4 linked regions of the Tamandua tetradactyla genome follow. The protein of the gene in region 3 interacts with the protein of the main gene of each other region in a biochemical or structural test. Links are inferred from orthologs where the notes say so. Each region holds a gene or a part of one and is shown on either strand. Other genes may lie near its edges. The genes, in order: RASA1, FGR, KHDRBS1 and ITK.

Region 1 (7,683 bases), on a different chromosome or scaffold from region 3:
TATCTTAATTGTTTCGTACACTCCTATCCTTGTTTCAAGTTTCTTTTGCCTAAAGGGCAAATCCTGGGAGGAGGGGCACGCTGTAGAGGAGTTTCCCAAGTCAGTCTTTCCCAGACAGAAGTTCAGGAACATACAAAGGGAATGCCTGCCAGCTCCAAACTGCCATTTAGAGAGTTGAGGGAGGGGCAGGGAAGGGCACCAGGAGCTTCTCCCATGGCTCCCCAAAGCTGTGCTCTTTACTTGGCCTGCAGATGCAGACCTTCAACTGTCCTCCACAGCTTTGAGGAAGTATACTGCCTTAAAATTCCCTCCACTGCCTTTGTTCAGGGCACACTGGAACAACGGTCACCCTTAGAACTGGGCCCCCAGAGATCCGAAGTAGTTAATAAAATGTTGTGATAAACCATTGGCCTGTGCACACCCTAGATTTTGGCGAAGTAGATTTTTATGTCCCTTTCTGGCACCAGAAAGTTATGCAGGGACTGCACCCCACTGTTGCCTGCTATGAGAGTTGGGGATGGATGCTGGTAACTGCCATGGAGAACATTTTTCAGGTATCTGAGTATAATTCAGCAGCCTCTTCCTCCTGCTCTTCGGTGGATACAGTACAGTGCTTTACTGGACTGCTGAGTTTCAGAATAGCTGATTCAGACAGCTGCTGCCTGTTTAACAGTTTTTCTCATGGATGGACTGATTCCTGGAGCTTAATATTCTGCCATCATCCTACAGTCCTCCTTTTGAGAACTTTAAGGTCAACAAATGCAATGGGAATATTACAAATTAGGAGTAAAAGCTTCTTTTCAAAATTATTGCATCAGTGAAACATTTTTACACTATTTAGATAAAATTGGAAGCCTATTTATACATCTGAGTATGCATTAGGGCATGGAACGAAATATTATTTCTTGCTCAGTCTTCCAGTCAAATCTACTTATGTATTTGCTCTAAATCCCTCGAGGCTGTATGAAACAATGTTATATCACTAACTCAGAATTACCTTTTCTCATACTTAGGGTATAAAAACTGCAAAATATTTTGTAGTATATCATGTTCATATTTGAGTTGCCAATAAATAAAGAATGAGCCAGCTTCATTTTCTAAAAAATTAAATTTTCAATGTCTTTTCACCCACAAGTTTTTGCCCAGAATTTTTGATTACTTATTCTTCATCAAAAACCATATTTCAGTATCTACAGTAACTTTTCCAAAATCGCAGCTATTACAGATTATTTTATTAAACTTAAAAAGCTATTTTGAATTTTTCCCCGTATTCTTTTGAATATTGTTTTCAGTACCTCCTGTTTAATACTCTCTGTGCACTTACTTAACAGACTGTTTACTTCCTTTCGTTTACTGACATTGTATAAGAGCACACCTAGCACCCCAATTCCTACAGAATCCCTGCAATGTCTATTAAAATATTAAAATATAAAAAATATTTTAATAGATTTTTCATAGTATTTAAAAAAAATGTCTGCAGTTTTGGACTCATGAAACACATAAAGTATATCTATCAGAAAGTTTAGGGGGTTGAGAGGAAAGGGAGCGATAAGTAGGAATTAGGGGAGAAATCAGTAGGAAAAAAGAGAACATAAGCATATAAATCAGAGAAAGGCAGAAGGTCAAGGTGAGGAGAAAAAGGAAAAAAGTAACAAAGATAAAGGAGGCAGGAATATCACACTCTTTCAAAAGAAATTAGAAGTCATTAAAGGTAGAAGACTCATTTGATATTAAGGAAGTATATAACAATAGTAAAACCAAGGCCTAAATCTGTCCAATAATAAGAATATATAAAATATTTGGAAAATACCTCGTCAAAAAATGCGTGGGATGAAAAGGACAGTGCCAACTATAAAGCTAAACGTAAACTAGGTAAGATATGGGTACTAGGTTATTTACAAAAAGACTTAGAACATCCTTGCTAGTAGTTGAGAAATTGATTTCCAAAGATGTGAGCTGATCAAATAATCTAGTATTTGTTATGTGAATGGAGATCTTTTCAAAGCAGTGTGTTGGGGCTGCCTAACACTGGCTTTAACTGTTTAGAAAACAGTTTAAGCTAGTATATAATTGGTGTTAGATTGTATAAAACACAGGCTTTAATTGCTAACGAATTTTCAAAAAGCAGAAGCAATTCTACAAATTAGGGGAGTGAGCCTGACCTGGGCTCTCAGACATAATACACATGGTGTAGGATCACTTAGAGATGATCACTTTTAATTAAGAGAAAGTGTTGGAGGAGAAGGATGCTAAGACACTGTAGCTCTTCAAGAAAAGGTTACATGGAAACTTGCTGCGGATTCATACATTAGGACTTAGGCGGATTCATACATTAGGACTTAGGTGAAATATATATTTCCCTGATCTCTTCTAACTTTGAGGCTCTAAGTCTAAATAAAAGGAAGACTATTCTCAGAAAGGCCACCAGACATAGTCATTTATTATTTCCTTCAGCGTTATGGAACTACTACGTTCTGGTCTTTTTTGTTCCTAACCTCCTTTTTTAGAATAGTTAGCAACCCAATACCCAACTCTCTTACCCACCCTCTAATGAACGTCATTGAATCTGCTTCCTCCTGTATTCTTTCTTTCAAAACGTTTTTAGGTATTGCATACCTCATTCATGACTAGCATACTATACTCAAGTGCAGTAGTTCTTAAACTTTTAAGTTTAAAAATCACTTGGAGGATTCCTTAAAACACAGACTCCAAGGCTCTATCAACCACAGTTTCTGATTCAGAGGGCCTGGGGTGGGGACCTAGAATTTGCATTTCTAAGTTCCTTGGAAATAATTGATCAGAAGCGACCCCTTGATAACTACAGCTCTGGGGTCTAGTCCCTCCTCACTCTCTCAGCTGGTACACTGGAGAAAAAGTAAGCATAATGGCACTCAGGACTATTATAATCAAGAGCTTGCTTACCAATGACTTGGTAAACAGGCTTACACAAATTCTAAAATCAAAGAAAAGTCTTGAGTATGCCTTGTCATTTAAGTAGCTTTTTCCCTTTTTCTCTGGCTTCTATATTGGTTTGATCATCCTTAGCAGAGAAATATCGATTTCAAAGGCCAATATTCAATGATATTCAGTGTGGTAGCCCTCCTGGGGGGAATTTAAAAGACAAGAAAAATACATGAATCCCAAACAGCAAACTACCTCCACATATATGAAGCAAGTTTATTGTTAACTTTTAAAGTTATATATAACTTGCACTCTGGGATCTACTTGACATTTGCCTTGTGGAAGGATCCCAGTCATTCATGTATGCACTGCAGGACATGCCCTGCAGTCTTCTGCAGGCGGAACACGGACACAAGCGCATTGATTAGCGGAGGCTGCGGCCCCTCTCCTGTCCCACCCCTCCTCAGTCCCTAACAGACCTGCAGCAGCACAGGTAAACCCCAGTGTCTGGGTGACACGGTCGGTTAAGAAAACAAAACCTTCACATACACTGGTAGAAGTCGGACTTCACTACCGGTATTTCTACCAAAATTTTCCACCTTCCCCGTTTGGTCCCCTTTATCTTTTTCGCTTTTTCCTGAATTACAGAATTTTTTTTTTTTTTTTTAGTTTGTAATAGTCATATTTTAATTTACATCATTCAACGAAAATAAACTATGGACAGTCCTGCCTCGGCCTTCGCCGCAGCCACCCGCCCGTCCACTGCTGAGCCCCGGCTCCGCTGGCTAAGGCCGCTTGTTTTCTACCGGTCCAGAAGGAAGGAACTGACTCCTCCGCATCTTCCTTTGTCCTTCCCCATTCCTTCCTCTCTACCGCAAGCTCGTCCCTCTCGTCTCTCCGGTTTCCACGGCGTTCACCGGCAGGTGCTCAGGTACCCTCCCCCTGGCCTCCCGCGGTCCCCGGGGACCGCACCGGCCTGCCTTCGCGCCGCCGTCCCGTCCGGCAAGAGGTGCAGCAAGGACAGGACACCCGCCGCCGGGGGACAAGGACAGGCGAAAGCGCCAGGCTGCCCCGCGCCGGGACCGGGGGAAGACAACGAGCCAGGGCGCGCGCCGCACGCTCCCGCCGCTTCCTTCCCTCCCCTCTCCACTCGTCCTTCCCTTCCTCCAGCCCCGGGCTCGCGCGTGCGTACAGACTGGCCTCGCCTCCCTCCGACCCCGCCCTTCCTCCCCCCCGCCGCCCCGCCCCCGCCGCCCCGCCTTCCTTTCTCTCGTTCGGGTTTAGATAACTGTGAGCTCGCGGTGGCGAGCAGCTGCGCCGGTTTCTCCACCACCCCGCCCCCCTCTCTCCGCCTCTCCACACCCCTCCCATCTCCAGCCCCGCGGAGGATGAAGCGGCTGCAGTGGCCCCAGCCCGGGCAGCGGCACCGGCGGTGGCTGCGGTGGGGGTGGCCGGAACTCGGGTGGTGAAGAGGCGGTGGCGGCGGCGGCGGCGGCGGCTCAAGGAGCGGCGGCCGCCCCAGCCGCTTTCCTGTGCTCCCCTTCCTCTTTAGTGCAGTCAGGAAGTTTTTCGCTTCTGTGCATGTGTGTGTGTGCGTGTGTGGGTGTGTGAGGTGAAGGTTTGGGCGGCATTTGTGCAGGCGTTGGATTTTTTGCCCACTTCGCTTCCCGTAACCCGGGCAGCCTCGGAGCCTGGGCTGTGGCCCGAGGAGGGGGCGCGGCGGCGGGCTCCCTCCTTTTGTTGTTGTTTCCTCCGCCTGGGGAGCTGAAGAGGGGACGCGCCTGGGTGGGGTGACTCGGAGCCCGGGCCTGCTGGCCCCCGGGGCTCCCGGGCGGGCAGGGTAGGGCCGAGTAGAGCGGGCTTCAACATGATGGCGGCCGAGGCCGGGAACGAGGAGGGCGGTCCGGTGACCGCCGGGGCAGGAGGAGGCGGCGGGGCTGCGGGCTCCAGCGCCTATCCGGCAGTGTGTCGGGTGAAGATACCCGCGGCCTTGCCGGTAACAGCCGTGCCCTACCCTGGGCTGGCCGAAGCCGGAGTGGCCGGGACTCTGGGTGGTGGAGCTGCTTTGGCATCAGGGTTCCTAGGAGTCGGTTCCGTGGCGGGAGTCCTGGGGGGAGCCGGACTGACAGGGGGAGGTGCTGTTGCTGGCGTGGCTGGTGCTGCTGCTGCTGCCGGACCTGGTGGGGACATGGCTCTCACCAGAGGGATCCCTTCGTTGCCTGCCGAGACCCTCGGGCCAGGAGGAGGATTCCCCCCTCTGCCGCCCCCTCCTCCGTTCCCCTCCCTGGGCGCGGGCCTGGGAACAGTGGACGAAGGTGATTCTCTGGATGGACCAGAATACGAGGAGGAAGAAGTGGCCATCCCCCTGACTGCTCCTCCAACTAACCAGTAAGTCAAAACTGCTGCTCAAGGAACCAGGAAAGCTGGCTCTAAGAAAGAAGTGGGGCATGCAGAGGGAAACCTGTCTTGTTCTTTCAGCTGTTATTTGTTTTGAAAAAAAGTTTTGAAGCTTCAGGTTCCATGTGCGGGGATTTAATTTGATCACTCATCTTCCCTACAGGCACGCTCCCTGGCGTCTTCGTGTGTTTATTGCTCCTCTGGGAAGATGTAAAGTTTTTAAGATGGGAAGCTTTGGAAAATGTGTATTCAGTGAGAACCGGATATGGTTCTACCCCTTCCAAATTCAGGTGGTGGACTGGGATTCAGCTGAGATTGCAGCTACCAAGGCAGTCATTGTCTGTATTAGCCTGCGTATGTGTTCTCTGCTGAAGTTGGATGATTAGTGAGAATACTTGAATTACAAGTATTTAAGTATTGGGTTAAAATCATTTGAAAAATGCATGAGTCAGAATGTTTTGTTTTTGTTGTACTGCAAATCCTAATTTTTGTCTATTGGAAAAATAAAGTCTTTGAACCACTTATGAAAACCTGTGTCAGAGAGAAGCAGGAAAGGAGTTTTGTGAATTACAGGTGTGGTTAAGTGTCCACACTCTAAAAATGTCTGTAACTTGTTCTATTGAATTGGTATTTATTAATATTAGTAATTCTTTAATAGCTGAATAAGTGCAGTGCTGAAGCAAGACAGAATTAATAGTGCTTCCCCTTTAACCCTTTGTTGGTGGTCATTTTAGTATTGTATTTGAAAATTGTTTGACATTCTACTGCAGAGTATATAGGACAAACGACTTTTTAAAAAGTCATTACCCATCTTGTTCTTTTCTTAAATGGACTTAGGTGTGTATTTATAAAAATGGATGTTGATGAGAGGAAAATGTTGACATGGGAAGTGGTGATAGGTAAAACTTGTTTATGGATCCCTGACATTAGTCTTAATTGACATTTAGAATTTTAAAAATTTGGTATCAGAAGAAAAAAGACTTAGTTCAGATGTTGATAATCACTGGACAGTTGAAAGTGTTTTGAATAAGCTTCTTTAAAGGATTTAGAAAGGACTTAAAAACTGATTAGGAAAAGATTCTGTAATAATAATCCATATTTTGACTTAAGGCTACATCTTTTGATGTTTAAGGTACAAAAGTAAAGTTATGCCAGCTATAGTATGGGGATGTTGTATTCCCTTTATATTAATGCAAAGTTCATTTGTCCTGTCATTTTATTCCAATTTATTTATCCTATCTATGTATTACAGACTTTTCTGAGGCTATTAAATTTGTAATTTTATAGCAGTACTTGCAAATTTCCAATTTTTGTTGTAAAAATCAGTCAGTTGAATATTTGAGTGTCCACTAAGTGCTTGGCATGGTAGTTAACAATAAAGTGCAGTTTTTCATACTGAAAGAATCTACAGAATCTAGTCTTATGCTGTTTCACAGCTAAATTGAATTAGGCGTATTTTTGATATTATAGTTCTAAATTTTCAGTAAACGTAAACGTATTTAATAGTAAACATAGAACATGTTTGTGAGAAGTCTGTTGTGTGAGATTTCTATCCTTATATGTGTTCCGGAGTAAAAATGTTAATAGGGCTATATTTATGAGAATTTTTCATGTTCTAAAAAGTATCCCATTTCTACTATGTTTTAAAAATTTGCCACTGAGGAGTACAAATTTCCTTTTTTTCTTTATCTTAGATATCAACTCAGTCACTGGAGGCAATACAGTATAGTGGTTAAGCTTGCAAATTCTGAAGTTAGACAACATTTGGGTTGGAATCCTGACTGCCGCTTAGTAGCTGTGTGATCTTGGAAAGGTCAGTTTCCTCATTTGTAGAATGAGGATAATAGTGGTACCTCCCCTGTAAGGTCATTTTGAAGATTTAATGAGAAACCTGAAAGTATTCAACACAGTGTTTGGCATATAGTAAGTGTTCAGTAAATAATCCCTGCAAATTACAATAGTATAATTTAATCATTATATTGCCTATTAATTCTTTTGTTAAAGGGATTCCCTTATTAATAGCTGTTTTAGAGAAGGTATTTTCTCCATTTTTTTTTGCATGGGCAGGCGCCAGGAATCCAACCCAGGTCTCCGGCATGGCAGGCGAGAATTCTGCCACTGAGCCACTGTTGCCACCACCCTTAGAGAATGTTTTTTGATTTCCAAAAACTTATACTATGTGCTATAAGTTTACCGTGATTACTTATATTAACATTTTTTTTAGCTTAATAAAGGCTTCCAGGAATAGGTTAAGCAATTTCAGTGGTGACGTTCAAGTGTTTTCTATAAGCTCCTATTTTTAAATTGAAGAGGAGAAAAGTCTTAACTTAGTTAAAAATGTCAAATCTTTTGAAAAAATACTGAAGAAATATTTTTAGACTAAAT
Region 2 (7,432 bases), about 4.8 Mb from region 3:
AGACCCCTCCAAGGCAGGGTGGAGGGGATGGCCTGTGGGGCCGGGCTGAGAAGAAAGAGAAGTTCCCAGGGTGCAGTGGGGAGGGCTGAGTTGGCTTAGCTGCCTGGGGGATTTCACCAAAAGGGAACTGGGACTTGGGGCAGTGGCAGGAAACCACCATCCTGCAAGAGTTCCGGCTTCTCCTCAGGGTTCTGGGCTGGGCAGGAGGCAGGCCAGGGTTGGAGGGGCAGGAAGCAATTCTAAGATCTGCAGGCCACCCCCAGCCCCTCTGTGCCCCACCCCTCACTAAGACCTGACCTGATGAAGGAAGGGTTCTCTCACCACTCCTCACTGAACCCCAGGCCCTTTCTGAGCCCTTATCCCTCTTATTAAGGTCGCCACCTCTCACTGAACCTCCATCCCTCTTATTGAACACTATCTTTTCTGGAGGCCTCACAGCACCCACCCCCACCGGCACCCCACCCCAAACACTCACGGGCCCTAGCAGAAAGGCCCTACTCTGACTTTACTACCCTAGTGGGGCCAGGTGCATGTGATGGGGGTGGGGAGTGGGGGTGGCAGATACGTGCCACACCAGCTTTTTCCTCCACATGGTCCTGAAGGTACCAGCTGAGTTTTCTCTACTTGGGAGTAAAAGTGGTTTCCCATCTGTCTCTGAAAACCCACCAGCCTCTAAAACAGGAGTCTGAGTTCAGCTCCCACCTGGCCTGGGACTCAGAATTCACAGGAGATGGGAGCCCATGGATGTTCTGGGGAAGCTGAGGAGATGAGAGTTTAGATTCCACATTGTGGCCAGAAAGGAAGTCCCCTTGCGAGTCCTGGGGGGGGGGGGGGGCACCCTTCCCTGTCCGCTCTGTTCAGGAAGGACCCTGGCACCTCCTTCCCCAACTCTGGGGTCTCCTGCTCAGCCCACCCCCCAGGGTCTGACCACTTCCTTTGCCTCATTGGCCCCAGGTGGCTGCTGAGAACTCCTAAACACCCACACGGGCTCACTCACATGCTCATGCTCATTTGCTCAGAGCCCGAATCAAATTCACACCCTCACACCCTCACGCCCTCACTCACAGCTTCTCGCCCCCTGGAAAGCAGGAGAGAGCACCGATACACACAGCCCCCTGCGCCCACTCCCGTGTCCACCCCTACCCCTCTCCAGAGGGCTACATGGGACTTGGCAGGGATTAGGTGGGAACCCCTTTGTCACAAGCGAAAGAGGCCCTGGAGTCCACTCCCAATGGCTGGCCCTGTCGTTCGCTGCCTCCCAAATTTCCATCTTCCCATCTGTGAAGTTGGAACAGGGCCTTGCTCTCCCACCCACCACCAGACTGAAGGATGCCAAGGGCCTCGGGATCCCTGAGAGACTCCATGACCCAGGGGAAGGCTGGCTGGGTGTGGGGGCAGATCTCACCCCCAGTGACTCCGCACGGTGGGCCCTCCACACATGCACAGACACTTACTTATTTATAAGATACTAACTGTGTGCTGGTGCCTGGGGGCCCTATCAGTGAGACCCAGGCTTCCTGGCCCCCTCTGTGCCGTCGAGAAGGCGCAGGAGAGGCTAGCTGGGTCAGCGAGGGCCTGTAAGCTCCCCAGGACACTCAGCCAAACTGATTTCTGTACCCGATTCACACAGATTCAGGTATAGGGGATAGGGGCAGAGATCATTTCTCCCCACTGTTCAAATGCAGAAAGTGAGGCCCAGAGGAGCCCGGTAACTTGCCCAAAGTCACACAGCAATGAAAGAAAGGCCCAGACTAGCTAAGAACCCAGGTCTCTGCAGGTTTTCCCTGAAGGATCCCTGAACGATGTGCATCAGGGCCTCACTCCTCTGTCCGGCGAACGGCCCCTGCCTGGGGTCCCAGAAGTCAGGAGGTGATGAGGACAGAAGGGGCTGCTCCAGTAAGGAGACCAGCATTTGCCAAGAGCCCGGCTCTGCCTCTCCTCCCTGGCGTTGCCATGGAGACAGCCCCTCCGGGCAATCACGGTCAAAGGCAGGATTTCCGTCGGGGCGGCCAGCAATTCCCGGATCCCGAGGGGAACGCGGACAGAGCCCGCCACTGCGGGGGGGCGGGTACCCAGAGAGGCCTGACTTGCCGAGGGCGGGGACTTCCCCAGGAAGAGGGGACCCGCGCCTCTAGAGCCTAGAGGCGTCTCCTCGCTGGCCCGGGTCCTCCCACCCGGCGGGGAGGGAGAGTCTAGGGGGAGGGGGAGCTTCGTTCCTGGCCGCCTGCCCCCCCACCCCCCCCCAAGCCACAGGCTTCACCCCGGGCTTCTGTCAGTTGGCGATCGGGGATCTCCTGGGCCCCCACAATTGCGTCATACATTCTGAGTCCCCCAGAAATGGTTCTCCTTGACCCTTCTTTCCTGCAAACTGCCTCACCTGACCCTTCCAGTCCCCCCGCCTAGCTCCCCTTCCCTAGACTCCTCAGTTTCCCCACAAATTCTCACTCTCAAGGTCCCTTCAGTTCTCCTCCAGACCATTTTTGGGGAGGTCCCCTTACTCCCCATGCCCCGACTCTCTTAGCCCTTTTTCCAATTTCGATCAAACTTACTCCACAGGTCCCCTTCCCTTTCCCCAGCAGACCTTTTTGGGGAACCCTCTTAATCCTCCCCTGTTCCCCTCCACAACTTGCATCCAGTCTCACTCTCCAGGTCTCCTGAGTTCTTCCCAGACCCTTCTCTGAGCGGGAGCCTCTTGGTCCAAGTCTCTTCAGCTGTCCACCCTAAGGCTCCCAGGCTCGCTCCCCCAGGCCCCTGTCGCCGGGCCGGGCCGGGCCGGGGGCGGGGCACGGCGCTGCGCCTCCCAGCCCCCCACCTGCCTACCTGTGCCCGTCCCCGGGGCGATCCAGCGGGGCTCCCGGCCGCAGCGAGGCCGACGCGGGGGCGGAACCCGGGTCCTGCTTGCCTCTGCCGGCCGCGGGCTCTGGCTGGGAGGAGGAAGCCGCTTCGGACTTCTCTTCTCGCAGCGGTGGCGGCGGCGGCGGGGACAGCTCTCAGTCACGCCCCGGCCTCGAACCAGCTGCCCGCGCGGGGGGGGGGGGGGGGGGGGGGAAGGGGCCCTCAGATCCTAGGCTCGCCCGGCCCCACTTCCCACCTCCCCGGGGTGACCAGGGATCGGCCCTCCCAGCCCTCTCCCAGCACCCCAGCCCTGTCCCCCACCCCACACCCCGCCTAAGCCCCCAGTACCACCTTCCCAAAGAACCCCTCCCCCCCCCCCCCCCCCCCGCAAGGCACCTGCTTTCTTAGAATCATTAGATTTGAGGTTAGAAAGCACTTTTCTCTATCACTGAACCCACTGCCCTCTCTGTCCATTGAGGCCCAGATGGAGACAGGTCTGACCCAAACTTTCACAGCCAGTTGACCTGGAAATGTAAGAGCCATTGTGAGTCCATCACCTGCCTTGCCTCCTTCAGGGCCCTGGGCACTGGGGCACAGGGATGCGGGAGGTTGGGGAGTAGACCAAGAACCTTCCCTGGGGAAACTACATTTCAGAGAAAATTTGCCTTCGGGTCACAATGAAGGAGGAAGGGTGTCAGCCCTCCCCTTGCCCAAGTCTTAGAGAAACAGAGACCATCTTCTATCAGCCTTTGAGGCTGGTAGGGATCGCTGACCCCTCCTCAACTTGGGGGTCAATTCCCCTTCCCACAGCTGTTACTTCCTTAGTCTTAAACTAAGGCCTAGAAAAAAATTCTTCCGGTGGGGAGGAAGATGTATGGGGAGGAGGGTTGTTTGATGGAGAAGTGTGCACGTGTTGGGATGCAGTGGGAAGGAAGGGAGGGTGTGTAAACACAGAAGCGTGTATATGTGCATATGCATGTGCATGCGTGTGTGTACAATTGTAGGCAATGAACACGATGGATGCAGTTTTGGAACCAACCGCAGGGCGTATTCTTCGGAATCGTGTGTTTCTGTGTACGGGCAGGGGAGGGTTCAGAAGCCTGAGAGGGGGTGGGCTCAGATGTCTGTGCGATGGGTTCTCACAGAGTGGCAGAGAGTAGTGGGATGCAGGTAGGTGTACTTTTCTCGTAGGGAAACGGGAGGAGGGATGGGGAAGATGACACAAGGGAGCTGGTTGGGGTGGGGGGGCAGGGGCTTCGGAAGGGTGGTCTCGCGCTGGCTGGCCAGCATCATCTCCACCATCCAGCACTCCCTGGCTGGCCTTTGGTCCACATGTTCAGTTAACAAACATTTAGCATTCCCTGGCAGGTGCCAGCCTTAGGGAGCACCGGTGAAAGACACTGGTCCCTGCTCCTGGGAGAGCCCCCAGTTGCTCTCATTTACTTCTGTCATCCTCCAAGGTCTAACTCACAGGCGCCTCCCCAGGAGGCCTTCCCTGATTCCGGTTCCCCTCTCCAACAGGGCACTCAGTGCCTTCTACCAGTATGTATGACTAGTTCTTGGGGAATGGATGTGTGGGGATGTGTTTTCCTCAAGGGCAAGGACTGGGTCTGGCTCTTTCCAGCGCCCCCAGTGCCCATGCGGTGGCTGGCCCAGAGCAGCAGGCTCTCTGGACATAGGAATGCATGAATCCATCAAGGAACAAAGGAATTAATGGGTGAACAGATGAAAGCCCAATGAAAGAGCAAATAATTGAAGGTAAGATGTACCTTCAGTCCCTTGCTCAAATATTAAATAGTCCCTCCAATAGCTTATCTCCCATTTGTCTTGGAATAACAAAAATGAAATAAAACAATGATAAAAATAATTAAATTTGGTGTGTGACTATATATCAATAAATTTTTTTTTATTTTAATTAAACTTAAACTCCTTCCCACGGCTTCCCAGGTTCTGTCTGGTCTCTGCCCACCTCTCCAGTCCCACCTTGGGCCAGCTCCCTCTCCAGCTACACTGTGTAGTTCCTAGACTACATTGAGCTTCAAAACCTTCTCTCATGCTGTTTCCACTTTCTGAGACATGCTTCTCCTTGCTCTTCATAATACCGGCTCCTTTCTGTCCTTTATCTAAAGTGTCACCTCCTCAGAGAAGCCATCCCTGATGACTCCATCTAAGGATCTGCCACCTCCATTCTTGGTCTCAGCACCCTGTTTGTCTCCTTCATGGCGATTGGAATTATGTATTTCTGCTTATTACTTATTGTCTGATGTCTCCTGGGGTTAGGCCACCTCCTCCCGTCCCTGAACTTCCCTTGCCCAGATCAGGGCTCTGACGTCCGGACACATCTGTACCATTTGAAATAGGGACAGGAGGATTCTCTGACCCTCATCCATCCATTCAGAGTAACCTAGTGGTGAGAAACATAGACTCTGGGCCCAGACTGCCCAGCTGTAGGTGAACTCTGCCTCTTGCTAGCTCTGTGAACTTAGAGAAGTTATTTCACCTTTCTGTGCCTCAGTTTTCTCATCTGTAAAATGGAGATAATAGTAGAACCCACATTATAGGAGTCTTGGGAGAATTCACTAAGTGTTAGACTAGTGCTCAGTACATATATGTGCTTGCTATCATTTATTCAATTGATCAGACCTCAAACCTTCACTCAAACCTATTCTGGGTCAGGCCTTTTTCTGAGCGTTGGAAGCTTAGATATGAATATGGTTCATTCCTTGGCCTCAGACGCTCCCTGTTTGCACAGAATATGGGTGGATACAGTGCAAAGAGGCTACAGGAGTGGCCTGTTCAAACGCCCTACTCTCTGGCCAAAGTCTCCTATCATTCCCCATAATTACATGCTCCTTTAACAGAAATCTGACAACTGATACCAAAACCAAAAACCAAAGCTCACAAGCCCATTGGAATCTTCCATTCATTTTCCCATCAGGCCATCACTCTCCTATTTTTAACCAGCTTAGATTCCATCATCAGTCTTTACAGTCTTCCTTTGCAAATATTTTGTCTTTCCTTGTCTCTTCCTGCCTCTACTGAACTTGCTTGGAAAACTCCAGGCCTGCAGGAATCCTGCCATTCAACTTCTCTCAGTGTGGAGGAGAAAATCACACCCCAGGGAGACAGGTTCATTAAGTCACAGCCTAAACTGAACTCCTCTTAGTAAGCTGTCCCTATATCTCTCCCCAGATGAACAGTTCACACCCTTTCTTATGTTCCCCAACTTCTTCTCCACTTGGATTCTAAACCCTCTCACCTTCTTGAAGACTTCATGCCTTCTGTAATCACCTCTCCTGCACCATCCACTTGTCCCTCTCCATGGAATTACCTGCTCAACATATGAACATGTTCTAGACTAGAATCTCTCACTTAAAACAAAAATAACAAAACAAGAAACCTTCCCTTAGAAAAGTAAGCATTTATCCTGCCTTTTTCAGGCGGAATGGTGGTTCATTCCTCCTTGATAATGGAAGGTTCTTTGTAGAAGAATGCTTCCTACCAAAGATAGAATTTGAAAAACTCAATTCTGCAAACCCAGTGAAATAATTGATTTAGACAAGAATCGTCAATGATGCTGAAACCACAGGTGAAAGGCTTTAAGGAACAGAATGTTCTCACAGTGCCCAAGTAATACCACACAGATGACTTGCTATTTGTAAAGAAGAAAATGTTCCTTTTCAATAGAGAGACCTGGTGGATACCCCACAGCTGGTGCTCAATCGGCAGTATGTGCCTCCTCATATGATGGCTGTGAAGCCCACAATATTACCATGGAAAATTCTTGCCATAAATATTTAGCCTAAATCCAATCAAGTCTCTGACCAGGAGTTGGCAAACTACAGGCTAAATCTATCCGGCTGCCTGTTTTTGAACAACCCATGAGCTAAGAACGGCTTTAACGTTTTTAAATCATTGCAAAAAATTCAAAAGAAGAATACTATTTCGTGACATGTTCGAATTATGATGAATTCAGATTTCAGTGTGCATAAATAAAGTTTTATTGGAACATAGTCATGCTCCATTTACACATTGGGTATTGCTGCCGTTATGCTGATACATACTGATACAATAGGTAGTTGCAATGTGACTATAAGGTTTGCAAAGCCAAAAGTATTAAGTCTCTGGCCTTTACAGAAAAAGTTTGCCAACCCCTCCTCTATAACTACCTTCCAATTATAAGAAATGCAGGGATTAGAGGAATAAGTTAAATGGCACTACAAGGTCTCAGTGGGGGATGTTCTACAAGATAATTAGCCTGGGCACTTATAAAAGTTGCTGTCCTAAAAAAAAAAGAAGGCAGGATGGGGCATGACCTGTATTAAAAGAGACCAAAGAGACATCACCACCAAATACAATGTGTTAACCTTAGCTAGAGTTTCTTTTGGAGAAAAAAAACCCCAGCTATACTTAATACATATGTGTATTAGCTGATGTGTTTTTCTCCCTTTTAGACTGCAAATTCCACTAGGGCAGGGCCTTTGTTAACTACAAGTCTTCCAGCAGCTTGCTAGTGCCAGGCACCTGATAGGTGCTTGATCATTGCTGGATGAAAACAGAAATGAAAGAAAGAATAAATTTTGTTTGGGGAAGGAGG
Region 3 (7,060 bases):
AACCAATTAGGGCTTAATTCTTTTTTTTAATTGTTTAGGGCTTAATTTTTAAGTACAGTTTGGTGCAGGTGGGGGTGGTGGAGTAGGTGTGTGGATCCAAACTCAGAATAAGTTTAAATCCTAGCTCTGTTACTTATTAACTTTCCTTGGGTAAACTATTTCATCTCTATATGCTTCAGTTTCCTCATCTGTGAAAATAAGGTTAAGAGTAACTTCCTCATAGTGTGATCCTGAAGATTAAACATTTAATGTAAGGAACTCAGACCAGTGCCCGGCACTTAACATGTGTCCTCATCAGTGCTAAAATACTGTCTCCTCAGTCTCATTTTCTTGAAGTTGATTGTGACTTCACTGCAACTTTTTTTCCAAATCATTCAGAAATACCACAAAAGTCAGGCCCATCATATATCAAGACTTATACATGCTAAGAGGTATCCAGTATTTCAATTCTGTTCTCTCTTTGAGCCAACATCACATCAATTCCATTTCTCCAAATAAAAATTTCAATTTGGTTAAAAAAAAAAGGGCATAGCCAATACCAAAAAAATTAAAGAGCATGCTCTTGGATAACAGAAATTAAGCAGTGAGGGGAGGGTGAAAATTTTAACTTTTAAGGATCAGTATTTTTAAATGATTATCCTAAGAAACCTTTTTTTTTTTAACTTAAAACATGAACATCACACTGGACACTCCAAAAGGTCAGAAAATATCTTTAGTTTTCATATCTTATTCAGTACCATGGATTTATAACTAGAAGACAAGTGTGATGACAATTTATTACTTAATGATTATAGGCCAAAGGAAACTGTGCTAGTGCTTTTACACATCATTTACTCCTCGTAATTTATCATTCCCACTTTACAGATGAGGTTATTAAGGCTGAGAAAACTTCCCAAGAACACATAACTAATTGTGGGTAGAATTTTAAACTGGTTCCAACACCTTAATGTTCTAAAGCTTGTTATTTTCTTCTGATGCATTTAAGGTGGACTGAATTTAAAGATTTGGGGAAATAAAATTAAACTAAATCAACCTTTACCACTTAGCCTGCAAGTACATGTTACCAGGTTCAACCAAACACTTGGTGTTTGCAATATGCAAGGCAGTGTGAAAAAGAAAAAGAAAAAGCAGTCCTTGGCCTCAAAGAGCTTGCTAGAAGAACACAAGGAATAGTAGTAATGTTCCAAACAATCCGAAAGAATTTCAGAACAGTAAAGCACTGAGTTGAAAAGCGTCAACAGTTTTATCAAATATTTTATTCTTGACCACTGGGAGCTTTGCTTTTTGTGTTTAAAAGTAAAGACCCCTTATCAATGTTGGGAGATAAGAGAACAAAGGGATCATTTCATTTATAATCATCTAACTACTCATTCAGTGTCGAACGCTGTAAAATTTTACTTGCTTAATAAAATTTAGGTACCGTAAGAAATACCTATTAAAATAATATTTTAACTAGAAGCTAAGGTAAAACAGCCGGCTTTGGGAAGAAATCACAGCGACAAGGGGATTGGTCAGTGCTGATCAGAAAAGGAGAGCTAGTCTACAGAGAACAAAGACTAACATTCCTAATCTCTATTTCACTACTGAAGCAAAAAGAAGGAAAAAAAAAAAACCACTCACAAGCCTTTTAGGTACAACCATCGCGCAACTTATCTCAATAATCTATAATTGTCCATCTTCTTCGGAAATGTTTGGCAAACCACCCTGGTGTCCCTTACCTTCCTCTATCATCCCATACCACTGTCTATAGGGCTATTTTTCCCTTTCTTGAATGATGAGAGTGAACACACGTTGTAAAACTAAGGTCACCAATCTTCCAGCTCTGTAACAATCATTTTATCGACCTAACTCGGAGATTTGTTTCCGAAAACCTCAAGTTCCGACCCTCACTGGTCGCTAGCTACAACCTCTGGGCAACTCAATCTTCAGTCACCACCAAGACCCACCCAGCCCTAGCGTTGGCGGCGCGCTGGACAGGGCACTCCAGCCTCAACCTGAACCACACCTCGGCCTCCCACAGTCCCTCCTCGCTCGGGTTCAGTCTTCATTTCCTATGCTCTCAGTTGAGACGCGTACCACCACCAGCCATCGAAAAGGTTTTCCCCGTGGGGGAATCGGGAGATACACATTCATTTCTGGAAGAAGCTGAACACTTGGAGCGCGGGGCAGCTGCAAGAGGTGGGAGGGAGGAGGGTTAGGAAAGAGGCGGGGAACTCAGCACCATCCATCAAGATCTCTGCGCTAAGAGATCGCCGAGCCGCCTTCGAACCTCCATCGCAGAAATTCTCCCTCGCACCCCGAGCAAGGAGAGGAATTTGGAATCCAGCTATACGGAGGACGAGGATGAAAGGGGAAGAAGGGTCCACGACCGTCTCGGTCCCGGAGGCGCGGGAAGCGAGAGGAACAAAGCCGCTGCCACCCACGCCACTGGGTGGCCGGGTGACCCAGAGGGACCCGAGCGGTCCGCTTACCTGCCGTCAGCAACTGCATGGCATGAGTAAAGGAAGGATCGAGCGAGTCCTTCTCGGCCATGAGTTCAGGCAGGTACTTGTTCTCCGGCTCCATCTTGACCGAGGCAGTAGCTGAAGGGGGCAGCAGAGGGGTCGGCGCTGGACCGCCCACTGTCGCGTCGGGACCCGTGGCCGAGGGCGGCAGCAACGGTGGCGGCTGCGTGGCGGGCGAGGCCCGGGCGGCTCCCCGGGATCCTCCTCCGCCTCCCCGGGACCGGTGAGAGAGCGGAGGCTGCCGAGACGGTGCCTGACGCACTGAGGAGTGGGCTCCTGAGGGGTCCATGGAGCCACTGCGGCCCGAGGACCGGATCATGCGCGCGGCGGGGTCGTCCCGGCGCTGCATCTGGGAGGCTGTGTAGTCGAAGGATCGAGGAAGCGACGCGGCAACAGCAGAGGCCCTAGCGGCGGTTGGCGGAGGTGGGAGAGCGGGAGCGACAGCGACCGAAGCCGACCCGAGCGACCCAGCGAAAGAGAGCACCGGAAATGAGACGGCGCGCGTGCGCAGCCAGTCACCGGCACCGCCCTTGGGTTTCTCCGCGGAGAACAAAGTCCCCAATTGGGCCATGGCGCCTGCGCACCACTGCAGCGCTCGAAGAAGTCTCCTCCCCATTTCCCTTTTCCCTCCGAGTTCGACAGGCCTAAGCTTTTTGCGCATGCGCAGGTCGCCGCGGGCTTCGTTAGGTTTCTTTGCCACGTGACTCGACCCTAGCGGGACACGTGTCTCCTCCCCCTTCAGATCGACAGAGCGAAGGGGGCGGGGACTATGGAATGTCTTTGTCTGCGGGCGGGGGGGCGGAGTGTGGGGCAGGAGGCCTGTTACTTGCGAGGCTACGCCCCCTCCAACGGCTAATCTGCGCTCAATAGGGTGGACTTGGGGGTGGGGGTGGGGTGCAGGGGGTTCGCTGAAGGGAGGAAATGAGAGGAGACCTGGGTTGAGGGACTGGTGAAGACGAAGAAGAGAGAATCGAGGCTGCCTGGGCAGGAAGAGAAGGGAGAGAGGCTGCCTGGAGTAGGGAAAGGGGAAGAGGTAGGGCACCAGGAGACAGGGATGAGGAGGGGAAGATAAGTTAAAGTCTCGAGCAGCTATGAGGAATGGAAATGGGGAAGGAAGGTTTGGAGGCAGAAAGAGGGAGAACGGCGCTGTGGAAACCTTGAAATCTGGAGGATTTGAATTAAGAGTGAAGGTACAGATCGGAGGCCTAGCAAAGAAAAGGACCCCAGCCCCAATCCAGGAAACGAGAGAATTCATATCCTGTGATTTCCAATATAGTAGACATTGAAACATTAGCCACTGTTGTTCAGAGATGTTTTCTTAAAAGAAACATTTTAGCTCTTACATATAGTACTGATTCCTGCTGGTTAAGTGTTTCTAACATATACACACCAAGTGGTTTTGAGTGTTATTGCTCTTGTCTTCGTTGGGCCCCTCACTATAGATTGTTCCATACTTGCTGAAAGAGACAAACCCTTGCCACTGCTCTGAAGGCCAAGATACGAAGAGGACATTCTCCGACGGCATCTTTTTTTTTTTTTCTTCCATGATAATTTAATTAGATGGAACAGATCAAATTTTTCTCCTTTTTGATCTAATGCCTAGGTTTTCCCCCACTAAATGGGCCAGTTGTCTTATATAGGAGTTGTTGTTTTTAAAATGCAATTTTACTGAGATATATTCACATACTGTATAATAATTCAAAGTGTACAATCAGTGGTTCACAGTATCATCTTATAGTTGTGCATCCATTATCACAATCAATCCCACAACATTCTCATCCTGGGGTGTTATATGCAAGCAGAGCCTGTCTTTATTTTCCCATATCCCCTCAAAAATCTGGTGATTTCTCTAACTTTTCCTTCCATCCACAGATTTTCACTTCTCCCATTGACGGCACTCAATTTCTTTTCCCTTTGGATCATTTCCCCTAATGAGCCTACCCTTTTCAAAGATGTTTCTGGAAATTATTTTCAGGGTGCCTGGAAACTATTGATTTTTGGATATGAGAGGTAAAAGCATTCAACTAGGGAACATAAAGGCCTGACTACCTTCTTGGGGGTGGGAGAGAGAAATTACCTTCAGAAATGAGAACAAAACACAAATCTCCATAAATTATCTTACCAGTCTTACCCTCCCCCCCCATTAGACTCTAGGCCCCAATATTTTTTTTAACTTCAGTGTCGGGAGCAATACTTTTCTTTGATGTCATATAAGAAGTGGCTTTTGGGGTGCATGGGTAGTTCAGTGGTTAGAATGCCCACCTTTCATGCAGGAGACCCAGGTTCGATTCTCGGACCATGCACCACCCCCCCTCCAAAAAAAAAAAGTGGCCGTTGTCCTCAGGTGGTTTACAGCCAAGTAGAAGAAAAAAGAGAGAACATTTTTGAATAATTGCAATGCAAAATATAAATGTAACAAGTGCTAAATATAAGTGAAAATTTAGTGCTAATGAAGTTCAAAGTAGGAGAAGATAGATTTCAACTAGGGGAGGATGAGTTCTGGGTAAAGAGAATTGTGAGTAAATGAGCAGAGATGAGAGTGCCAGAGATGCATTCAGGAATGGGGGTAATCCAATTGTGTACTGTAAAGGAATAGGTGGGTCTAGGGAGCTATTGCATGGAGGAGCAGAAAAGGAGCCAGGAGAAATTATAGCTCCCTTGTAACTCATTTCTCCCACCATCATTGAAAATCCTGCTTGGGTGGTGGACTACAAATGGCTGAAGTGTCCCTGTGCTGTAATGAGATGCCCAAATGGAGGTACCTTGAGATAACTAATAAAACTTTTATAAAGAAGGGTCTGAGAAGAAGCTGGGTAGTGTGTTATCTGTGGGTTTTCCAGACTAGAATCAACAGCCTTTCCTGTGGCTGCCAAACCCTTACCTTCTCTGGAGGGTGGGATGGGGTATGCTTTTCTGGTGAGAAGCACAAAAGGTAATCTGAGACGAGGTTATTGATGCTGCCGTGTCCTTATTTTTACCAAGTGATGCGGCTGTCTTCCTTTTGTGGGGCTCTTCCTGGGATTAGGAAAGAGTAATCCTGTCCTGAAGGCCCAGAGGTCTGAAGTTCATTTTGTGTTGATCAGAATCAAAAGAGTCAAAAGACTCTGACTTTGGAGTGAGGTAGACAAACTGAAATCCAGCGACGCTTTGTCATTAGGAAAATGCTGTATGTCATTAGGAAAATCACAACCTCTCTGAGCCTTTGTGTCCTGTAACGTGAGGGTCATGCATGGCATCTGCCTCACAGGGTTCCTGTGCACATCAACAACACCAGTGTTAACCTCCTGACACCTCATTATTCTTATGACAGTTTGTGCCTAATGAAGATTTTTGGGTACTTTATGTTGGTTCTGGGTCTGAAAGGCGTAGTGTGTAATCTGTATCGTTTTCACTGACTATAGCTAGGCTTTGTTTTGGAAGGGGAAGGCCAAGCAAGAAGACCAAGTTTCTTTTCCCCGCCCAGTTACTGTGGTGGAATATGCAGGAACAACTGAGAATGCCATGATTCAAACGGAACTAGGTCCGAATTGTGCCTCTACCTTTTGCATGCTGGTGACCGAGCAAGTTACATCACCTTGCTCAGCCTCTGCTTCCTCCTCCTTCAGAAAACAAGGGGTAATAACAATACCTATCTCAGAGCTATTAGGATTAAAAGAGATAGTGTCTGTAAAGCACTTAGCATAGAGGTTGTCAATTAGTAGGTGCTTGATAAGCAATAGCGGTCATTGTTATTATTACTACACACATTAATTGAGTACTTTAGTGCAGACTTTCACTTTCACTTGAGTCCCTAATGGATGGGCTGGAGGATTAAAGTTTGCCTGCAGTTGCTGGACCTGTGTGACCTCCATGGATGGGTGTCTAGCAGGCCCCATCTACTTCCCCTGCATCACAGCCAGTTCCCAGGAGAGAATAGCTCTGTCTCTGGGCAGGAGGGTTTCTCTTCCAAGAGTGTAGTTTGTCTGTTTAATCTTAAACCTACTGAGTGCCAAATATATAGAGGGAGAGGAGAAGGGATGGGGGGAGGGGCGGGAGTCAACATTGAATAAGAGAGAGTCCCTGTCCTCGAAGAGCTCACTGTTTAGTGAAGGAGACAAATAAATAAGCCAAGAGTTACCACGCAGTATCATTTTCACTGACTATAGCTAGGTAATAGAAGAATATACAAAGAGCTGTGGGAACACACAGGAAGGAGTGACCGACCAACTGCCAGGATGAGTTAGGGAAGTTGGATCTTTGGGGAGTTGCCAGGTGGAGCAAGGGCAGGACATTTAAATGATGGGATTTCAGCAGAGCTTGGCCCTGAGCCTGTGTACTGTGTCCTCCACACTTAAGGCTCTGGAATTCAGATCTCCAACCCAAACTTATGAGTTCCAGATCCTGATAGCCAATTACATCATGGACATATGTCCATTTGGATGTCTCAAAGGCCCTTGAAACTCAACTGTCCCCTCTAACAGAACTCAAGCTGCAGGTACTAGCAGTGCTGCTTTTGGGCCCAGGTGACTTAACATAGCTCCCAGTTTGGAAGTGTCTCCTCCTTCCTGGGCTGGGGC
Region 4 (8,015 bases), on a different chromosome or scaffold from region 3:
TTTCAAGCAGTATTATAATGACATTAGGCATGGCTATTAAAAGCAAGAAATAAAAACAATTAATCTGCAGAATAACAATTTCTTCTTCAGTAAAAAGCAGGGCTATTTGGCATATAGTGTCATAGGATTGCAGAATGTTAAGCTTCAAGACATAAATTTACAAATGAGATAGTGAAAGGAGCTGAGGTGGTGAGATGGGCAGTGGCTGGCCCAGTGTCCCGTCACATAGCTCATGAAGCATACACATTTCTCCCCACAAACTTATATTTATCCCAGAAGAGAAGGAATCTAGGACTAATCTGGTCTTAGCTTGACTTTGAAGAATTCTTTTGTATTTCCTTTTGTTAGAAAGAAAATATGTTATCCTGCCCTGCTAGCTCCTTCAGAGATATGATGCTGCAAATGAGAGCCAGTCCTTACCAGGTGCTGATTAGGTGACAGACTGTATGCTAAGTACTCTATATGTTACATTGAACCATACTGAACTGCCAACATCTGATTGTTCTTGAGCTACAAATGTATCATTTCAAATAGTTTGCCATAAATAGGTTGTCTCTCAGTCTTTACCACTTCTTCAGGAGGTGGGTACTATTATCGTACCCATTATACAGATGAGAAGACTGAAGCTTTAATTTAAAAAGACAAAGGTTCTTTCCATAAGTGTAATGCAATGGTTATTCTAGGTGATGCACAGTGCACTCTTGCCAACAAATCTGATTCTAAACAATGGGACATACATAGGGCATGATCAATAATAATTTATATATCCTACCCTCCTCGGTGAACTTGCATAAATTTCTAATCAATAAATTTCTATAACACAAAGAAATTCAATGTTGCTTTTAAAAAATTATTTATGAATATAAACCATAAACATTAAAAAACAAGAAATTTGGTTTGTGTGTATATCCTTTATATCCCATAGGGAAGCTTTAGAAACTATAGCCCAAGGCTCCCCCAAGGCCCTGGAATGAATTGTCCTGGAATTTTTCATAAGGCTCTGATGAAAGAAGCAGAGTGATTATCCAACATTCTCTAAAGGCAAATTACAACCCACAAAATCAGAATAAAGGCCATTTGGTTGTGTGATTATTTGCAAATAATATCATACTGAATTTATAACATAGTTTACAAACAACATGCTGCTAGGAAATTGTTGGGTTAGGAAAAAAATATATGTGAAACTGTTCAATAGGTTTTGAAAAACAATATTTAAAGGCAGATGCCTGCTTTCAAGGTGGAAAAAGAACTTTCCATGTCTCATTCACCTGAAGAAAACTGACCAATGCTTTAGATGATGAATCACCCAAGTTCAAAACTTGGCTACTGGCCCTGTATTAATTTAGTCAACGAATGTTTATTAAGCACCGACAAAAGCCATCTTGTATATAATAATTGACTGCCATGTGTTTCCTGATTAATTGGTTGATGTTTAACAATAAGAGTCTACTGAATGGCTTGTATCTAGTTTTGTGAAAAGGATATGAGCAAATCTTTCACCCTCTAAAGAAGAGGCAGTATTATTTTATTTGCAACTTAAAGGGCACTGTTGCCCAGCCTTGACTCATTCAGAACTCCATTTCAACAAACACTTCAAAGCCTGGCCTTCAAGAGACCCCAACCTCATGTGTGCACTTACTAAGACAGATCTCAGCAAGGAATCAGTGCAGCTTTTTCTCTTCAGACCATCAAGCAGTTGACGTTATTTCCCCTTCAGTAAAAGAGAAGTAATAACCTCTGCTCTACCTCCATAGTAATGGGGAAATAATAAAATGATACAGTAAGAAATCAAAACTGCTTTGAAAAATTGCTGTGAAGCATTAAAACGACTGTTGCTTCAGAGAAACAAAGGTATTTTTAAAGAAGGAAGAGCTCTTGTATGTCATTAGTTCCAGTCCTTTCATTTCCTAAAGAAAGAATCTTAGGCCTGGGAAGATAGACTTTTCTCCTGACCCCTCGTCTAGTACTTTTTCTACCAAATGGCATTGTTATGTGTATTCCTGTGGCACTTATTATGTTACTGAATATGGGAATATCTTTAGATACATAAAAGGCTGACTTAGCTAAGCATCTGAATCTTCTGGCTAAGAACCAACCACTGCTCTGCACTATAGGACACTCTGTGCCTAATAAACCTGGTCACCTGAGAAGTTTTCAGAAGTTTAAGAGGATTGTCACTGTACCTTGCAAATTTCAGATGATATTGTAGACAATTAAATTCCCAGGGCATTTTATTCTAAGTGTCAGGTAAGTGAGGACCATTGAGACAAATAGAGTTGAATTTACAAAAATGTTGTTGACACAGAACTCATCACTTAACCAGCACCAGTTTCCCCCATTGCAGAATAAGGAAACTGGGCTAGTATCCCATGGTCCCACTGAAAGCTATTATTTTATTAATCAATGTCCCATAAGACATAGTATATTTCAAAGAAGTTCAAACTCTATCAAATCATAATGTTTGCCACGTAAAATGCTATAAGTTTGAAATTAAATTTTGTATTGCAAGATTAAAAAGCTGATGAATATGAAACTGATAGTTGCATAGATTTTAGACGTGTAATCACATACTCCAACCACCTCAACTCTTGACTCCCTTCCACATTCCTTTCTGATTCCTCTTATTGTGCATTTAAAGTTGTTGTATTTTATTCCATGTATAGTTCAACAAACAAGCCCAACCCAAATATAAAAAGAGACAAAGCAAAGTGCTCACGTACCCCATGACGGTCCTCAAAATATGCCAGGCTAGCTTTGGTTAAAACAAAGAAGCGGACTTTAAAGTTGGAAGGCGACGTTCTCCTCTTCTGTTGGGATTTCTTGATTAGCTGTTCTTCCAGGAGGATAAAGTTGTTCATGATTAAGTTCTTGAAAAGTGATGCGCTTTGGGCATCACCCCTTAAAACAACCCGAAGAAACAGCTTGGGGGCAAGGAATGCGATGGGGAGGCAGTTGATCTTCCGAGTTGTTCAAAGGCAACTTGCCTCCAACCTTATCTTTCTATCAGTTCAGTCAGCCTCACAGAGCTTCCCCTCTGATGTCAGAGGCCACAACCACATCCTTTCAAAGTCACAAAATTAAGAGACACATGCAAAAAAAATGGTATACACATACACCTTTTGGAAATGATATTTGAAGAACTGTAGCCTCAAAATGATATTAAGCATAGGAAAGCTTAGAGTCTAATCTTTACAGTTCCTGGTTTAGGCCATCTGACAGTTGAGGCATATGGTACCAGGGCTCAGAACGTGGGCATTGCAATCCCTGGGGCATTGTTTCATATTAGTTTCCTGGCTTTCCTAAGTCAAATCCTCTAATAATACACATGTGGCACCTTATAGGTTTCTCTTTATACCCCTCATCACGGTTGAGAGCGTACATTTGAGGAGAGTGTGAATCGCTAATTGATGCTTGTCTCCGCCATTAGTCTAAAAGCTCCATGATGGGCAAAGACTCTATTTGCTTTTACTCACCCTTTATGCCTCCAGCATCCACGTTAGAGCCTGGCACATAAAAGGGATGCTTAATAAAAATTTATTGAATGAATAATCAGCAACATAAGTTGGATAATTAAAAGAAATAATTAGCATATAACACTTGGCATAATGCCCAGCATATAGTAAGTACTCGAAATATATTTTTAAAAATTTAAATGAAAGCCCATAGAAGTTTCTCTGTCTCACAGGTACAAGATTTTACTTTTCCGTTCATAAACTTAGTGGAAGAGCAGAAAGTAAGTAAATCTTTCAGGGTGGCATACTAAACAAAGCATGTATGGGCTCTGAAAACAAACAAATTTGTGTTGGAATCCCAGCTCTGTTGCTTACTAAGCTGTATTTCGTCAAGCAAGCTGCTTTCCTTCTCTGGTCCTTCATCTCTCTATGAGGTCCTTTTGAAAACTTAATCACATAAGCTCTGTAAATAGTGGGTGCTAGTCACTAACTTAGAGTTAGTACATAGTTGAAGTGTAGTATGTGAGCCCAATTTTCAGCCTGAAATAAATAATCAAGAAATCTCAATGTAAGCGGAAATGGCAAGTATTGAACAAGAATAAATAATGAAACAAAAGAATCATTACTGCTATATAGGAGGGAAATTCTCTAAAGCTTACTTTGTTAACATAAAATAAGTATACTACGATCTAATTTTGTTTTACATGCTGAGTGCCCCAGCATAATCAAGAAACTTTGGGAGAAAAAGGTTGGGGGGTACTTTAAACGACCTCTCCCTGTTCTCAGATTTTGGAACATATGTGTGGAAAAGCACTGCCTTGTAATAGTAATATTTTTTTCTGAGTATGGACTAGAGGCAGGGATTTCATTTTTCCTAAAATATCTGCTCTCTCATTCTACCTGGAAAACTGAATCCCTGAAGGTTAGCTGAGCATCTGGCCAGCCAAAATAAAGAAAACATTTTGTAGCATCCCTTATATCTTGTTGTAGTCATACAACTGTGTTGTGACCAGTGGTACAGAGTGAAAATAGTGAGCATGAACTTCATGAAAGAGGTCATAACATTTCCTTTCTCCTTTCTCCTCCTTCCTGCTGATTAGAATGTGAATGTGATGGCTGGAGTTGGAGCAGCTATCTTATATCATGAGATGGAAATTGCACATTGAGGACAATAGGACATAAGATAGAAACAACCTGGGCTCCTGATGACCCTCAATCCTCCATGATGGCCCTGGGTTACATTTTTTAACATAATGAGAAATAAACTTCTATTTTGTAAGTCCCTGTTACTTTGAGGTTCTGTTACTAGCAGAAAACCAATTCTATCTAATACAATGCTATCTTCCCAAGCTGGAGTATAAACTCCTTTGTGTGGTGGGGGTGGGGTATAGATTTATGTTTGGTTGATTTAGCTTAAAAGATTTACGGACTTCCCACAAGTATTCTCATCTGAGAAAGCAAAATATTATTGGTAGCTGATTGCAATAAAAGGTTTTCATTTATCGTCTCCATGGAGTACAATCACAAATAATTTTGGGTGTTTCTTATAGAGCCAATAAATTCACTCACTGAGTTGGTCTTTGCTCACTACTAAATAGCCCTCTTTGGCCAGCCCAAGATTCTTCCCATGGCTTTCAGGAAAATGTGGAAAGAAATAGTCCCTTTGCTTTGGGTGTTTTTTTTTTTTTTGCATGGGCAGGCACCAGGAATCAAACCCGGGTCTCCAGCATGGCAGGTGAGTACTCTGCCTGCTGAGCCACCGTGGCCCTCCCTGCTTTGGTTTTAAAAGTCCAGTTCACCGGAGCCAAATTCAAGGAACCCCCACTGACCAAGGATGGAACACACTGGGCATCAAAAATAGTGATAATAAAACAGTAATGATTTGAAGAGCATCAAAAATGTTAAAATCTTGAGTTCATGAGTTCAAAAGATTCTTGAAAAAACATCCCAACCCACTGATCACTTTTGGAGGATGCTAGGGAACCAGTTTGTTATTCTGAAGATTGTAAAACAACAGGAAAGAATAAAACGTGTATTCTGATTTTTCTGAAGAGCTCTATCTCAGTTTGATGATCAAATACTTAGCGTTAGATACCATGTGACTCATCAATTCCCATCCTAGGTATACACCCCAAAGAACTGGGGGAAACAGGTTCTCAAAAAGATACTTGTAACTACTGTTCATAGCGACATTATTCACAGTGGCCTAAATGTGGAAACAACCCAAATGTCCATCAATGGATAAATGGATAAATAAAATGTTATATACCTACAATGGAATATTATTCAGCCTTAAAAAGGAATGAAGGATATTTATGGTGACATCATCAATATTATCAATATGTAAGACACCCCCTGAAAAAGGCTTAACTGAGATTTAGCGACTAAAGGGACAAGTTTATAATTGCTTAGAACTCTGGAGGATGGTAGAGACTCGAGAAAGACCCCACAGATGCTGAATCAAAGAAACAGAAAGATCTCAGGTAGGAGAATTCCCTCGTGGATGTCACTTGGTTACTTGGTTCCCATACAGCTTGTGAGACATATGGAAGCATCCTGCCTGGGTCCTTCCCCGCATGGACTGAGACTATAGAATGACTCAGAGCAGTGAGTTAGAACTCCACATATATCCAGGCACCCAAGACCTAAGTGTGCAGACCCAAGGTGGAACACAAACCTTGAGGAGTGCTGTATACAAGAGGGCCCCCAGGAGCAAAGGAAAAATGAGTAAGAGAGACCACAATGGAAAGGCTGGTAGGAACTGCTGTGTCCTTACTCAATCTAGTTTCAGCTTACTGGATCACCTATGGCAAAATGGACTTTTTAGAAGTGACCCACCTTTCTGGATTGATGCATTTGGCTCTCTGGGTTAGGATACCTTAATGGGGAAGAAACCAGAAGCAAAAAAAAAAAAGCCTCATAGAAAAATAATGAGGGGTTAAATTGAACTGCTGTAAGATTGAATTGAATTGTGTAAGGAAAATGGGGCACTGAGTGAGGGAGAGAATTTAATAGGAGCAGGGAGAAAAAGTCTGCATAAAAACAAACAGAACAAATCAAAATTCCTGTAGAAGGAACAGAGGAATGGAAACTCTCTCCTGGAAGTAAAACAACTGCACAAAAACTGTAATCTTAAAAAGTGTACCACACACACACACACACAAAAGGGTACCACATATCTAGGGCAAGAATAAGAGGAAGAAGAATTTGGAAAATGTGAACATTTAGACATGGGCTATACTAAAGGTCTAGAATAAATTAGACCAACCATCAAAAAAAAAAAAAAAAAAAGATCTTAACATAAAGCCAAACAACAATAAAACCCTAGACAAGACGGAGAAATTAACTTCAGCGTTAACTCATCAAAATCAGCAGATGCCTAGACATCAGCAAAAAATTACAAGCCATGCTAAGAAACAGAAAGCCATGGCTCAATCATGGGAAAAAATTAAAACTTGAAAGACTCAGAAATTGGAAATCTAATCAAAGATGTTCAAATAAATCACCTAAATCAATTCAAGGAGATGAAGGAAAATATACAGAAAGACATGAGGGATATTAAGAAGACAATGTGTAAGCATAAAGAAGGATTTGAATATATTAAAAGAAACATAACAGAAATTAGGGGAATAAAAGCTAAAATAGCAGACAAAAATACACATGAGGCATACCATAGAAGATTTGAACAAGCAAAAGAAAGAATCAGCAAAAGACAAAACAATCAAAATCATGCAGTCAGAACAGACAGAGAAGAGAATAGGAAAAAACTGAGCAGTGTCTCAGGGATTTGAGTGATAGCATGAAGTGCACGGACTCATGTGCCATGGGTGTTCGAGAAGGAGAAGAGAAGGGAACAGGGTCAGAAAAAATATTTGAGGAAATAATGGTAAAGAAATCACCCAACTCTTATGAAAGACATACATATACATGTCCAAAAAGCTGAGCATACTCCAAACAGAATAAATCCTAATTGACTTTCTCAGACACATACTAATCAGAATGTCAAATGGCAAAGAGAAAGACAGAATTCGGAACGCAGCAAGAGAAAAGTGCTTCACCACATACAAGCGCTCCTCAATAAGACTAAGTACCAATTTCTCAGCAGAAACCAGGGAGGCAAGAAGGCAGCGGTGTGATATATTTAAGGCATCAAAAGAGAAAAATTGTCAGCCAAAGTCCTTTATCCAGCAAAAATTTCCTTCAAAAATGATGAAGAGTTTAAAATGTTCACAGATAAACAGACACTGAGAGAGATCATCAAAATGAAACCTGCCCTACAAGAATTACTGATGGGAGTTCTGCAGGTTGAAAGGAAAAGACAGGAGAGCACGGCTTGGAGTAGTGGAAAGAAATGAAGATTATCAGAAGGGGTAACTAAAAGAGTAAATGCAAAACCCAATAGCACTTGTATCCTCAATGTACTACTCTACTCTTTAATTCATATAAGAACCAGAATACAATTGAACAAGAGAAAGGCATATTTCCTGACAACAGATGTGGAAAACATAAAGTGGTAAACTGGGACAAAAAAAAACAAAAAAAAACAAAAAAAAAACGGCATAA

The links.
Region 1: the proteins of KHDRBS1 (region 3) and RASA1 form a complex in vitro, tested with the Homo sapiens proteins (2 studies listed by BioGRID). The link is inferred for Tamandua tetradactyla from reciprocal best matches to the Homo sapiens genes KHDRBS1 and RASA1.
Region 2: of the proteins of KHDRBS1 (region 3) and FGR, one has a biochemical effect on the other in vitro, tested with the Homo sapiens proteins (2 studies listed by BioGRID, with this or other methods). The link is inferred for Tamandua tetradactyla from reciprocal best matches to the Homo sapiens genes KHDRBS1 and FGR.
Region 4: the proteins of KHDRBS1 (region 3) and ITK form a complex in vitro, tested with the Homo sapiens proteins (4 studies listed by BioGRID, with this or other methods). The link is inferred for Tamandua tetradactyla from reciprocal best matches to the Homo sapiens genes KHDRBS1 and ITK.

Annotation. Positions count from the first base shown.
Region 1 is NC_135347.1:44,038,714-44,046,396, reverse strand, and holds the start of RASA1 (ras GTPase-activating protein 1), read left to right. Parts: upstream 1-4,680; 5' UTR 4,681-4,768; coding exon 4,769-5,289; intron 5,290-7,683. UniProt on the Homo sapiens protein: Inhibitory regulator of the Ras-cyclic AMP pathway. Stimulates the GTPase of normal but not oncogenic Ras p21; this stimulation may be further increased in the presence of NCK1.
Region 2 is NC_135328.1:198,648,841-198,656,272, reverse strand, and holds the start of FGR (tyrosine-protein kinase Fgr), read right to left. Parts: upstream 3,001-7,432; 5' UTR 2,821-3,000; intron 2,740-2,820; exon of another isoform or gene 2,643-2,739; intron 1-2,642. UniProt on the Homo sapiens protein: Non-receptor tyrosine-protein kinase that transmits signals from cell surface receptors devoid of kinase activity and contributes to the regulation of immune responses, including neutrophil, monocyte, macrophage and mast cell functions, cytoskeleton remodeling in response to extracellular stimuli, phagocytosis, cell adhesion and migration.
Region 3 is NC_135328.1:193,833,463-193,840,522, forward strand, and holds the start of KHDRBS1 (KH domain-containing, RNA-binding, signal transduction-associated protein 1), read right to left. Parts: upstream 3,016-7,060; 5' UTR 2,854-3,015; coding exon 2,472-2,853; intron 1-2,471. UniProt on the Homo sapiens protein: Recruited and tyrosine phosphorylated by several receptor systems, for example the T-cell, leptin and insulin receptors. Once phosphorylated, functions as an adapter protein in signal transduction cascades by binding to SH2 and SH3 domain-containing proteins.
Region 4 is NC_135346.1:38,277,272-38,285,286, reverse strand, and holds the start of ITK (tyrosine-protein kinase ITK/TSK), read right to left. Parts: upstream 3,005-8,015; 5' UTR 2,859-3,004; coding exon 2,721-2,858; intron 1-2,720. UniProt on the Homo sapiens protein: Tyrosine kinase that plays an essential role in regulation of the adaptive immune response. Regulates the development, function and differentiation of conventional T-cells and nonconventional NKT-cells.